3 linked regions of the Canis lupus familiaris genome follow. The protein of the gene in region 2 purifies or fractionates together with the protein of the main gene of each other region. This does not show direct contact. Links are inferred from orthologs where the notes say so. Each region holds a gene or a part of one and is shown on either strand. Other genes may lie near its edges.

Region 1 (4,136 bases), on a different chromosome or scaffold from region 2:
ATTCTTCTGAGGATGACCGGGCCTTTGGGCCCTGCCCACCTACCTCCACCTAGTGCCACTCACTACACACCTACGGAGGCTGGCGTCCCCGCCCCATCTCCAAACACTCAGGCTGAGCCCGGGTAGGAGGAGGAGGAGACATTTGGGATTCTGCTGTGCCGGGCCCTGAAGGCAGGAGCGGATGAGATATGGGTGCAGTCTGGGCCCAGTTCCCTGGCCACACAGTGCATTCTAAGGAGAAGGGACTCATTTACACGCCGGAGGGTGTATGAGGGATACCAGAAGGCGGAGCCCTGTGGGGGAAGTGCTGTCTTGCTGCTCATTACAATTAGCAACGCTTGGTTAGTACCACTGCTAAATATCTGTCGGGCTTTGCCGAGGGAACATATCCAGCCCGGGTCAGGGTGGGTGGGTGCGGGCGGGCCAGAGAAGCACATCTGGACAAGGACAGCGAAGGGCCTGGGTGCGAGGAAGAAGGCCCAGAGACCGCCAACCGCCTCTCAGGGATTCACAGCGCTGCGGAGGCGAAGCCGGCATTGCCCCGAGCGGCGCGCAGATGTGGGCTCCCAGATGCGCCAACGCCGGGGCTCTCCAGCCGGCCCGCCGAGGTGGCCGCGCCGGGAACGGCCTTGCCAGCAGCAGCAGCGGCCGGAGCCCAGCCTCCAGACAAATCCCACCCCCGGCCCCGCCCGGCCAATCCATCTTGCTCGGGAGGTGACGCTTCCTAGGAGAAGCAAGGGGCGGAGAGGGGAAACCCAAGCCTTTGGGGGCTCCCGACAGGTGTTTGGGGGAGAGGGCGGAGCCTGGTCGGGGAGGATGAGGAGGGAGGGGCGGTGCTGCCCCTTTAAGAGGCGGTGGCGGAGCCGGGACCTTTTCTCTTTCCCCGGAAGGAAAGCGGAGCCCCGGCTGGGCGCGCAAGGTGGGGAGGTGCGGGGCTGGGCGTGGAGGCGGGGCGCGCGCGGAGAGGACCGCTCCCTCCCGTCTTCCTCGCGATCCACGGGTCTGCGTTCCCAGATCCGCCGCGGAGCCCAGGGCGAAGGGGGCGCGGCCGGGACGAGCCGGGGGCAGTGCCCGGGGCGGGGGGGCCGTGACCGGCGGCTGGGCAGGCGGGACGGTAGACCGGCGAGCCTCGGAGAGGAATCGGGGCGCGCAGACCCTGGGCGGACGTGACACCGACGCGGCTGAGGGCCAGAAACTTCGCAGCGCTGCGGGGCTCCGGGACGCGCCCGCCGGAGCGGTCTCCGCGGTCCCCCGCCGAGCGCGCGGCAGGTGGACGGGTCCTGGCTCCCAGCGCCGGGCGCCCCCGCCCCCCGCCCCCGCCCCCGCCCCCGCAGCCATGGGCCCGCGCGCCCGCCGCGCCGCCTGCGTCCCGCGCCCGGTGCTCTGCGCGCTCGCCTTGATGGTGGCCGCCGGCGGCCGCGTCGCCTCCGCCTTCAACCTGGACACCCGATTCCTGGTGGTGAAAGAGGCCAGGAACCCGGGCAGCCTCTTCGGCTACTCGGTCGCCCTCCATCGGCAGACGGAGCGGCAGCGGCGCTACCTGTAAGTGAGGCGGGCGGGGCGGGGCGGGGCGGGGCGGGGAGACCGTGCGCGCGCCGGTGCGGATCCGAGCCTGGGCGCAGCCTGGCTTCCAGGCCCGCGGGCCGCCGGCTCTAGTGACCGGGATTAAGGGGGCGGGGGCCTGGGCAGCCCTTCTGCGGCCGAGGTCTGGCGGCAAGTGGAGGGAGTGGGTGTGGGATGGGGTCAGCAGTCATTAGCAAGTGCTGACCGGCCGGAACCTGCCTAAACTCAGCCCCTCAACCCTTTAAACCTCTCTTGAAAGTGGAAGTGGGGTCCCCGTTTCCCAAGCCCCCTCCCACTCTGTCGACCTAGTATCTAATCTATGAATACTTCTCTCCAGGGCTGGGACCTGGGGAAAACTGCAAGGTAAACACTCAGTGGAACCCTCTATCCCCTTTCCTGGGAAGAACCTGTGGGCATGTGTGTTTAACACCTCCCCCCTCCCGCCCGCCGGCCTTTACACCTTGCGTTTAGTCTGCCTGCCTGCGGGCCATGCCAGCCACACCCTCTGCAGAGCCAGACTGGAGGGCCTTCTAAGGGGCTTGGCGCTTGGCGGTTGCAGGGTGAGGTGATGGGCGAGTCTGGGCATTTGGAGCTGTCCGGGAGCTCCCTCTGACCCCTTGAAGATGGGGAAGTAGAGGGAGCTGTCCGGACTCCTGCTTGGTCTCCTGCCCCCACCGCACCCCCAGCAGGGACGCCCTCCCACCAGACATCTTCCCCACATTCCACAGATTCATGTTGAATCTTCAACCCTGAGTGTGTTTGTTTTGGTTTGAAGAGGGAAATGGTGTTTTTCTCTTCTGTTAGACTTCCCCCCCCCTGACAGCTGTAAGGAGAAGGAAGGGGGGAGAGCTACCCACAGGAGAGAGGAGAGAAGGAGATTGCATCCAGCTGTTTGTTTCCTACCCTGCTTCCTGCTTCCCGCTGCCACCGGCACTCTCCTGCCTAGAGTCCAGGTTTCAGGGATTTTTCTTCTGTAGGCTCAGGTGCTGAGGTTGACAGCCAGGGGAAGAAGGCCGCTGGGGGAGGGGAGGGGAGGCTACCCCAGGAGAGAAGGTGTTAGGAAAGGTCAGGCAGGCCCCACCTAAGTCTCTGGGCTGGGGGACCTACCAGACAGCTATCCCTACCTGGTGTCTCACTCCACTGAGCAAGAGGACATGGTCTGATACAGGGTGTATTGTAACCTTTCTCAACTCTGGCTGGAGCCTGCAGAAACTTGAGGAAGCTTGGAATGTCCAAAGTCCAAACTCTGCCCCAGCCTTGGCCTCTGCCCTGTCGGCCCAGCCCCTGCCCAGTATACCTATCTACCTGGGCCTCCATCTAGCTTCTGCAGAGGCTAAGGCCACCACATCCTTCCCAGCGCAGCACCATGCCCTCGGCCAGCCTTTCATCTTTTGCAGACCTTAAAAGTGACCATCAGCACAAGTTTCTGTATTGGCGCTTTTTCTGCCCCAGCCCAGAAAAAGATTTTCTGACTTTCCAGACTGACTCTGCATGATATAAAGCAATGCAGTGTAAAAAGAAGATCAGGAAAGCAAGAGTAAATAATGAAAAGCTGGAGTAGATAATGGGCTCTGTAAACCCCGCTCCCCATCCCCCCTACCCACCATGTGACCTTGAGCAAGACATTTCCCTTCTCTGGGCCAGTTTTCTCCAAAAAGGGGTTGGACCTGGATCTATAGAGTCCTTCCTGCCTCTGTTGGCCTATAAGAGGCAGCTTGCGATTGGAGAGAGAGAAGAGGCGAGGCGCCGGAGTCCCACTGCCACATTCCAGTCTCGGAACTGTCACTAATACCTGAGTCTTAACGTCTCTACATGTTGGCGGAAGGAGGCGGGGCAGCATGCCTTCTTCATGAGGTGCCAGTGGGGCTCTCTAGTGAGACAGCGTGTGTAAAAGGCTCTGTACATGCCTGTGTCTCCGGGGAGCAGTTAGTGCTCTTGTGCTGAAGCCAGGCTCTTACTACCCATGTGCCTCACCCAAGATGGCTGAGCAGAGGGGCTTTACCTTTCTTCCTGGGTGGCTAGAGATGGCATTAGACCTGCTAAGAGCCCAGGAGGTTCTAAAGCTAATGACCCTTGGAGAGGCAGGAAGTTCTAAACAGAGGTCTGGGCCATTCTCTTGGGTATCCTGTCTTTCCCCAGGGTAGTTCTATATCTTGGTTCATCTCCTCTTCTTGCTGAATTCTGCCCCTTGGCCCTTTGGGAGAGCCAGCTGGGCCATCTGGTCTTAGTTGCAGCCAGCTGTATAGCCAGATGTGAACAGCTGCCTGAGTGCACAGCTTAGGGCAACCAACAAGTCAAGTCTTATATTCTGTTAGTCTACAAGTCCTTTTGGAAGAGGGGAGAGGTTTCATGGTCATGAATAAAAACTCTTAGCCTGGGGCTCATAGAAGGTTTGCAGGAGGTGCAGGGACCCCTGAAAATACATGTAAAATCATGCATCTGTGCGTTGTTCTGCGGGCAGGAGGAGGGGAAGAGCACAGTTTTCATCATATTCTCAAAGATGGCCTTATTCTAGAAATGGTTAGAAACCCAGGTGTGGACCCTCTTTGTTCCCTATCTCTTTTGTCTCTGGG
Region 2 (4,218 bases):
TCCCTGAGTGACTCACTGGGCGTTACTTGGAGAAGCTGCCCCTTGAAGGTGGTGCATCGTGGCTAGGGGCTGCCCATCCAGGATGTGGGCTCTATTCCGTGGACTGCCTGGCCTGCCTGCATGTAGACATGAAGGAACTGAGGAGCGGCCCGTTTCATGTTCCTCCCTGCTGGTCCCCATCCTGTCCCCATTCCATCAAACCGATCTCTGACCAGCAGAAAAACTCCTTCCTCCCAATAAAGCCCATTGACTGCACTGTGACCTCCTTGGCCTATGTGTAAAAAGCCACAGCATGCGTGTGCTACACAAATGGGGTATCCATGGTACCCTCAACCAAGTGGATGGTACCTGTGTGGCAAGGGTCCCTGGCCCTGTGGACCTGGGGCTACGGATGTCCCTGTATGTCTCTGGTCATGCCTTCAAGACCTCACTGTCCATTAAGGCTGAAGTCCCATAGGGCCCTCTGTAGGAACAGGGGGACTGAGGCCCATTGTTTCACTAAGGAGCCCGCTCCCAGCCTCCTCCCCAAACCGGTCCTCACACATACCTGGCCCTGGGTGGACCACCTCAGCCCACTTGAGGCGAGCCAGTCCTGAGCGGGACCTCCAAGGGGTAGGTCTCCAGCCACCTCTCTGTTCCTTCCTCCACCCTCTCTGGGAAGCTGGGAGCTGCTGGCCAGAACCACCAACCCTGGGCAAAGAGCTGAGGACGAGTGTTGCCCACTGTTTGCGCAGAGCTATTCTAAATGCCTGCAGATTCTGACGTCCCTCCCTGGGTCTGGGAATGAGCCTGGTGGGCTGGGGGTACGCTCCATCTCCTTAATCCCACTGTCCGTTTTGCAGTCTGGCAGGTCAGCAGGCTCCACCCGGTCTCCCTCAGCCCTTGCCAGCCCTCCCAGGACCCAGACCTCCCAGACCAGACTGTCTGTGGCAGGGACCCAGGCCATCCTGTATACTGCGCCCAGAGACCCCACTCCTGCATCCGATCGCAACTCCAGACCTCCCCCACAGAGGCCAGCATCTGTCCTGCCGACCCTGCAGCCCCAGGCGGCCCCTGCGTTTGGAGGAGAGAACCGGGAACTGGGCCTGGAGGAGGGCGCGGCCTCGGACACAGTCCAGAGCCCCGGCCGGGCGGGCCGCCGCCGTCTCCACCGCCCCCCGCTCAGCTCCTCTGTCTCCCGAGGGTATGAGTCCCTGGCGGGGCCGCGGCGCCCGCGGGCTGCAGCACGCCCGCCTCCGCAGTCCCGGGCGGACCCCGCCGCCGCCGCCGCCGCCCGCCCGCGCACTGTCGGGACCTGCCCCGCGCCCGCCGCCGTGGGCGGGGCCTGGGGCCGGGGCCGTGGGCGGGGCCTGGGGCCGTGGGCGGGGCCCGGGGCCCGGGGCGCGGGCGGGGCGCGCAGCTCTCGCAGGCCCCCGGCGGCCGCGCAGTCTCCGCACCCCGAGCCACCGCCCCCATCGCCCCTCCCCGCCCGCCCCGCCGACTCCGACGCGTGGCCGGTGAGTGCGCCGCCGGGCCAGACGGGCCGGGAGGGGCCGTGCGTCCCGGACTCCGGGGCCCAGCTGCAGGCGTCTGGAGGGAGGCCCGGGAGGCCCGGGAGGGCCCGGCCGCCGACCCGGCCGCAGCCGCCGCGCGAGCCCCTTCCGGAGGGAGCCGGCCGCCGGGGAGCCGGGTGCGCAGAGCGGCGCCCGGGTGGGCAGAGGGGCGCCCGGAGCGGGGGCGAGGCGCCCCCGGGGTTTTTGCGCAGGCCTGGCGGCCCCTTCGGCCTCATCGGAGCACCGTGGTCATTGTCTCCGGACACCGGTGCCCTTCCTTCCAACGTCGCTCGTCCGGGCGGGGGCGGCGGCTCCACGCGGTAACGCGCCGATGCCTCCCCGGGCCTGGCTGCGCGGAGCGCAGGGTCCAGTCCTGCGGGCGGGGCGCGGGCGGCCGAGACCCCCGGCTGAGTCGCAGGGTCTGGGCTGGGGCAGCTGTGTCACGGCCGCAGGAACTATCTCTGGCCGGCGCGTCCCAAGGGGGCTCGCATCCGCCAGGCACTCCCGGAAACCGGGGCCCCTCCTCTGCCGGTTGTGCGCGCGGGCCGTGGGGGCTGGGGCCTCTGCCCGGGCCCAGGGGCCGCCGTACCCCAGCTCCGCGGCAGCGGTCTGCGTCTTTTTTCCTGCCTGGCCGGCAGGTACTGCTGTTGGGCGGGGTAAGGGGCAGTGGCCGGTCCGCAGGAAGGCCCAGAGCGGGGTGCTTGGAGAAGGCGAGTGGTCCCTCCCCTTCCAGGATCACACTATCCAGAAATGTTTTCTGCCCTGCCCCGCCCAAGCCCAGACTAAAATACCGGGCCTGGCCTCTCCCCTCCCTGCCCTGGGAGTGGACGCTGCCTACTCCGGAAGCCCAGCTGGTCCGGATCCACTGCCAGAGGCGGCCACAAGGAGGGGTGATACGATCCTGCCAGCGCCGGCCAGGCCTGTGACCTGTCCCTGCCTTTCTAGTGGAGGCTCTTAGGGAACTTCCGTCCACCTGTCTTAGAGAGGAGCCAGTCTCCACCAGCAGCCAGGTAAGTGCTGGGTGGGGTGGTGAAAGTTCAGCTCTGGGTGGTGCTGTCTGTCTGGAAACGTGGGAGGGGGGGCGTCCAGCTGCCATCTGTGCCGTGGGGCCCTCTCCCACCCTCCCCAGTGCAGACTCTGCACAGCGGAACAGGCAAAGTGTCCCTTCGCATCTTGCTGGGGTTGGTGTGGCCCCCTTTCCAGTAGTGAGGACCAGCAGAGGTCTGGGGCATGTGTTTCTGCTGGCTCTGCCTGTCCAGCACCGTCTCTTCTTCCCAGCCTGGCTCTGAGAAAGGAAGGCCGTCCCTTTAACAGAAACCCAAGGGGCTTCCCTGAGGCTATGTGGCTAGTAAGGGGCCAATCAGCCTGTGTCTGAGTGGCCTCCAATCCTTCAGCCTCCAGTGGGTGCCTGCTAGCCTCTAGCCTGCCAGACTGTGACGTGCAGCTCCGGGAATGTTGTGGGGGGGAGGGATGGGCGGGGCCTGCATGAGCTCACCCTGAGGGACCTGCCGGGTCTTCCTACCCTGGCTGCCAGCAGAGGTGAGTCAGCGGTGATGCTTGGGGTCCTCCATGTCTCCTTTGTGCGCTGGGCACTGAGCAGAGAAGCCGGGCCCTTCGGCCTTCTAGGGCCTGGCCTTCAGCTTGGCTGTGGGCACCAGACACTGGCCCTGGCTGCGCTGGGGGTGGGGGCCCTCGAAGTGCTCTCCCAGGAGACATCCTGCTTCTTGTGAACACTTTCCCAGGACCTTCATTCGGGGCAGCTGGTTGGCTGGGCTTCAACCCAGGGCTTGCCTGGGCATCGGTGTCCCCCTCCCTACCATCCCCACTGGTGTCTGGCTGGCCTCCCAGTTAAGTCCTGGTGGTGTGAGCTATCTGACCTCCCCTTGCCTCTCGGCCCCAGGATGGGGGAGTTCAATGAGAAGACGACATGTGGCACCGTCTGCCTCAAGTACCTGCTCTTCACCTTCAACTGCTGCTTCTGGGTGAGGACTCCCTCCCACTGACTGCCACGGGCAGGTGTCTCCTCCCTCCCATCCCTGGTCCCTGAAGGGAGCCTTGGCCTGGGGGCTCAGCCCCATCCCTTAGACCTGGGGCCAGATGTGCTGACCAGTGTGCACTGCCCACAGCTGGCTGGTCTGGCCGTCATGGCAGTGGGCATCTGGACGCTGGCCCTCAAGAGTGACTATATCAGCTTGCTGGCCTCGGGCACCTACCTGGCCACAGCCTACATCCTGGTGGTGGCTGGCGTTGTCGTCATGGTGACTGGCGTTCTGGGCTGCTGTGCCACCTTCAAGGAGCGGCGGAACCTGCTGCGCCTGGTTAGTGGGGGCTCCCCACTAGGCTGTCTGGGCTGGATCTGAGAAGGAAAGGAATGTTGGGGGTCAGGTGTGACATTGGAGAATAGCCTGTGCTGTGCTTATCTGTGCTGGGGGGGGGGGGGCACTTGTCCAGCCCTGAGTCCCCACATCCCAGCTGGGCTAGCTGAGGGAAGACACCAGCTCTGAGGGAAAGCATCAGGGACCGCCAGCACCCACCTGCTGCCCAGAGCCCTCTGTGGCCACTTGGGATCGGAGGCTGGGGGCTCTGCTCTGCAGTGCTGGACACTGGGAGTCCTCATGGGATAGGACTGCATGTGTCCAGTCCCACCTAACTGGGTCCCTGCTCACCCCCAGTACTTCATCCTGCT
Region 3 (4,006 bases), on a different chromosome or scaffold from region 2:
TCCCCATAAATGGGCCTCCAGATTAATCTAACAAAAGGAGATCCCTAACTTACCAGTTTTTCTTTTCTCTAAAACTTTCCTAAAAATCCATCTTTCTTGGCATTGACCGCCTTCCTGTCTTCACCACCTCATACAGCCAAGTCAAGCCAACTATCCACTCCAGTCAACAGTAGTGGCTTTAGCTAATTCCCTAGAAGTTAAAGTTTGGGCCCCTGGAAGCCCCAGAGGGTGGGTGATCCTCTGGATGTGCCTGGGACTGAAGGAGATCCTGGGCTGACGGGACCACTGGGTGTGGCTCTGGGGCAGTGGACCGCAAGGCCCAGCAGGTGTTCAGCCCCAGGCTCCCGACGCCCCCCCCCCCCCCCCACGCACCTCCCTCGGTCGGTCGGTCGGCGGGAGCGGAAACTGAGGCACAGCGAAGGCCCAGTCCCAGGCCAGCTCCCACCCTGCTCCTTGGGCCTGGCCTCGGCTTTCTGGCCCCCTCCTCCTGGTCCCCCTGCTCCCGTGCTCCCCCGTCCTTGGGATCCTGCTCCCCTGCGCGTCCTCCCCTCCTCCTGCTCCCGGTCCTCGGGATCCTGCTCCCTCTGCCGGTCCTCCCCTCGTCTCCTCCTCCCCTCCTCCTGCTCCCCGTCCTCCGGATCCTGCTCCCCTGCGCGTCCTCCCCTCCTCCTGCTCCCGGTCCTCGGGATCCTGCTCCCTCTGCCGGTCCTCCCCTCGTCTCCTCCTCCCCTCCTCCTGCTCCGGTCCTCGGGATCCTGCTCCCCTGCGCGTCCTCCCCTCCTCCTGCTCCCGGTCCTCCGGATCCTGCTCCCTCTGCCGGTCCTCCCCTCGTCTCCTCCTCCCCTCCTCCTGCTCCGGTCCTCGGGATCCTGCTCCCCTGCGCGTCCTCCCCTCCTCCTGCTCCCGGTCCTCCGGATCCTGCTCCCTCTGCCGGTCCTCCCCTCGTCTCCTCCTCCTGCTCCCTCTGCCGGTCCTCCCCTCCGTCTCCCCCGCCCCTCCTCCTCTCCCGCCCGCCCGCCCTCCCTCCGCGCTCCTCCGGCGTCCTCCTCCCCTCCCCGCCTCAGGCGAGCTGACGCCGCCCGGCAGGAATGCGTTTCCGGAGGGAGGGGAGCAGGAGCGGCCGCGGCGGCCGGAGGAGCAGGAGCGGCGGGGCCGAAGAGGCGGTGCCGCGGGGGTCGTTTCCTGCCGGGAGGCGGCTCCGGGCGGCCGAGTCTCCTGCCCCCGCCCCCGAGGAGGAGGAGCCGCCGCCGCCGCCGCGCCCGAGAGCCGGGAGGCCGCGCTAGCCGTCGGGAGAGGCCGAGCCGAGTCCCGGAGTCCCGGAGCTGCAGGCCCCAGCCGACCGCGGCCCGGACGCCCCGGAGAAGGTGGCGCCGTGTGTGCGCGCGTGTGTGCGTGTGCGCGTGTGCGCGTGTGTGCGTGTGGCGGGCGGCGCGGGCCGGGGCGCCGCGGCCGGGCCTGCGTGGGGCGGGGGCGGGGGCGGGGCGGCGGGCGCGGTGGCGGGGCTGCGGGACGAAACGCTGCCCCGGGGCCGGGGCGGGGGCCGGGGCCGGGGCGGGGGCCGGGGGCCGGGGGCCGGGGGCCGGGCCGGCTGCGCCCGCCGAGGCCCGGAGCTCGTCCCGCCGCCTCGCGAGTGGGGGTCGCGGGCCTGGGCGCTGTCCCGCCGCGGTGGGGGGCCCCGAGCGCGCGGAGCGAGCCGGCCTGCCTCGTGGGCCGCCTGGGCCCGGGTTCCGCGTGCGGGGAGGGGCGAGCGGGGCCGCCCGCGGCCCGAGGCCCCGGGGCTTGGAGCGAGCCCTTGCGGCTTCCCTTTGTTCCCGGTCCCGTCGGGGCCGCTCTCCCCCGAGCGGCCTGGAGCGTAGTAGCGCGCTTCCCGCTTGCAGAAGTCGGGCCGCAGCCTTCAGGGCCTGCTGCCGGGGCTAACTGCGGGCCGGGCCCAAAGAGAGGCGGGCGTCGGGAGCCGGGGAAGGCGCGGGCTTGGCGACTTGGGGTGTGTGAGGGCCGCGCCGAGTGGGGGGTCCCTCAGCAGGGGGCCGGCCAGGGGCTCCCGCGGCTCTGCAGGAGCCAGTGCCCACCTGCCCTGGGGCCCGGCCTCTTACTGCGCCTCAATTCTTGGGCTTCCTAACAAGTTGTAGTTACTACCAATATTTTATGCCTAAGTCATTTTTATTTCATCGAATTTGTACTTTTTAGTCAAAAACTAACACTAGTAAATTACCCTCTTGGGGCTTCCATTTCCTCACCCGTAAAATGGGAACAAGAATACCTACACTAATAATAAAAGCAGCTATTCTAGTAAGGACAGTGCGGGCCGTGGTTAGCTCTACGCACTTTACCTGTGTTTATCCTGGAACCAATACAATGAGGTAGGTGCAGTTTTTATACTCATTTTACTAGTGAAGAAACTGAGGCACAGGAGGCCTAAGTAATTTGCCTCTGATCATCCAGCCTAGTGAGTGAAGAACCCATGGGGTCTAGCACCAGAGCCCATGTTTGAATCACAGGTTCAAGTAACAGGTTCCATAAAGACCATAGAGTTGTGAATATCAGATGTAATATGTAAAACAGCTTACAGTAGATGCTAAATGCATAGGACTCCTTTCTGTCTCTTCTTGATATATGAAAAAGATTTAAAAAAAAATCTCAGGACGTAATTGATCCGCTATGCTGTTATTTTTGGTTGTTTTGATGGTATAAAAATAATGTGAAATAAATGTTGGTTAGGCATTTTTCCGAAAGGGCATACAGCCTTTAGTTATATTAATAGACCACTTTTAGAAATGATTAAGGAATTTCAGGTGGAAGTTAACCTAGTCTACATCTGTGAACATCTACACCCACAGGGGATGGTAATTAAGAGTTCACTACAGTGTTCATATTTTTAAATAATTTTAGTTCATTGATCAATATTAAATGAGTGGCTTAAGATAATGAAGTGATACATAGGAAACAGAGGGACAGGTCTGTTGGGGACAGGGCTCTGGGGAAAAAGCCATTTATTTATTTGAAAATTCATAAAATGGAAGATGTTATTAGAATGTTAGCTAAAAAGACAGGGGATGTGGTTAATACTTTTGTAAATAGAAAGCAAATAAATTCCAAATGAAGGTATCTGTGTTGACTTCACAGACTTAAAATTTAGTTTTTGTAATGTTGAGTCTCTTTAAAAGAATGCTGAATTCTCCATTATGATTATTTTATATTACTATTTTATAATACCCTCAACAGTCTGTACGTGAAAAAATATAGAATCAACAATATTGAAAATTGCTAGGTTTAGTGATTTTAACAATTAGGTGGTTTTTTTCTTAACTCTCTGGTCAATATAATTAAAATCTGGCCCAAATTTCCATCACTGAATGAATATGCAGTTCTGCATGGTTATCAATAAACTCCTAACTCCAGGAGCTTCTCTGGGGACGTCTGGTCATTTTGTAATAGGCAGAATTAATCAGTTTAATGTGCCAGTTTTAACGGAATACTTGCCACATAATAGCTTTATTGTTTGGCTTCTTGTCAAATAAATTGCGGCTTACGATATGGGGGTGGGGTAGTATAACACTCTACCTCAGGAAAATATTTTTCTTTGATATTCGGTTGGTACACTGGTCTGTTCTTAACTACACTGCTGGAATGATGAGATGAAACATCTTTTGCCGGTTCAAAGTTGCAGAACTTCTGACTTCTGAGATTTTCAGTTTCTGAATGTATAAAAGCTTGAATGTATCTAAGGACTTATATGGACTCTTGTTAAATTTTAGATTTCCTCACTCTGCATGGAAAGTTAGGATGTATCAGGTTGGGGTAGAATCCTAGAGGATTATACTGTGCAAATATGAAAATATGTCTTGTGGTATTAGTGGGTCTGTTCTAACTTTGGTCATATATTGTGGGGGTTTTGTTCTTTTTTGTTGTCATAGTGGGAGTCTTGGGGAAGGGGGATGGATTGACAGGGATAACAGTAAGGAAGAGTGCCTTAGTCTTCAGGATCCTGAAATGGAAGCAGTATCTA

The links.
Region 1: the proteins of CD151 (region 2) and ITGA3 purify together in Homo sapiens (co-immunoprecipitation; 4 studies listed by BioGRID and IntAct, with this or other methods). This does not show direct contact. The link is inferred for Canis lupus familiaris from reciprocal best matches to the Homo sapiens genes CD151 and ITGA3.
Region 3: the proteins of CD151 (region 2) and ITGB1 purify together in Homo sapiens (affinity purification with western blotting; 4 studies listed by BioGRID and IntAct, with this or other methods). This does not show direct contact. The link is inferred for Canis lupus familiaris from reciprocal best matches to the Homo sapiens genes CD151 and ITGB1.

The regions. Positions count from the first base shown.
Region 1 is NC_049230.1:26,015,393-26,019,528, forward strand, and holds the start of ITGA3 (integrin alpha-3), read left to right. Parts: upstream 1-1,336; coding exon 1,337-1,542; intron 1,543-4,136.
Region 2 is NC_049239.1:45,626,500-45,630,717, forward strand, and holds the start of CD151 (CD151 antigen), read left to right. Parts: upstream 1-1,418; 5' UTR 1,419-1,496; intron 1,497-2,477; 5' UTR 2,478-2,542; intron 2,543-3,432; 5' UTR 3,433-3,433; coding exon 3,434-3,514; intron 3,515-3,658; coding exon 3,659-3,850; intron 3,851-4,204; coding exon 4,205-4,218. UniProt on the Homo sapiens protein: Structural component of specialized membrane microdomains known as tetraspanin-enriched microdomains (TERMs), which act as platforms for receptor clustering and signaling.
Region 3 is NC_049223.1:3,937,872-3,941,877, forward strand, and holds the start of ITGB1 (integrin beta-1), read left to right. Parts: upstream 1-1,206; 5' UTR 1,207-1,364; intron 1,365-4,006.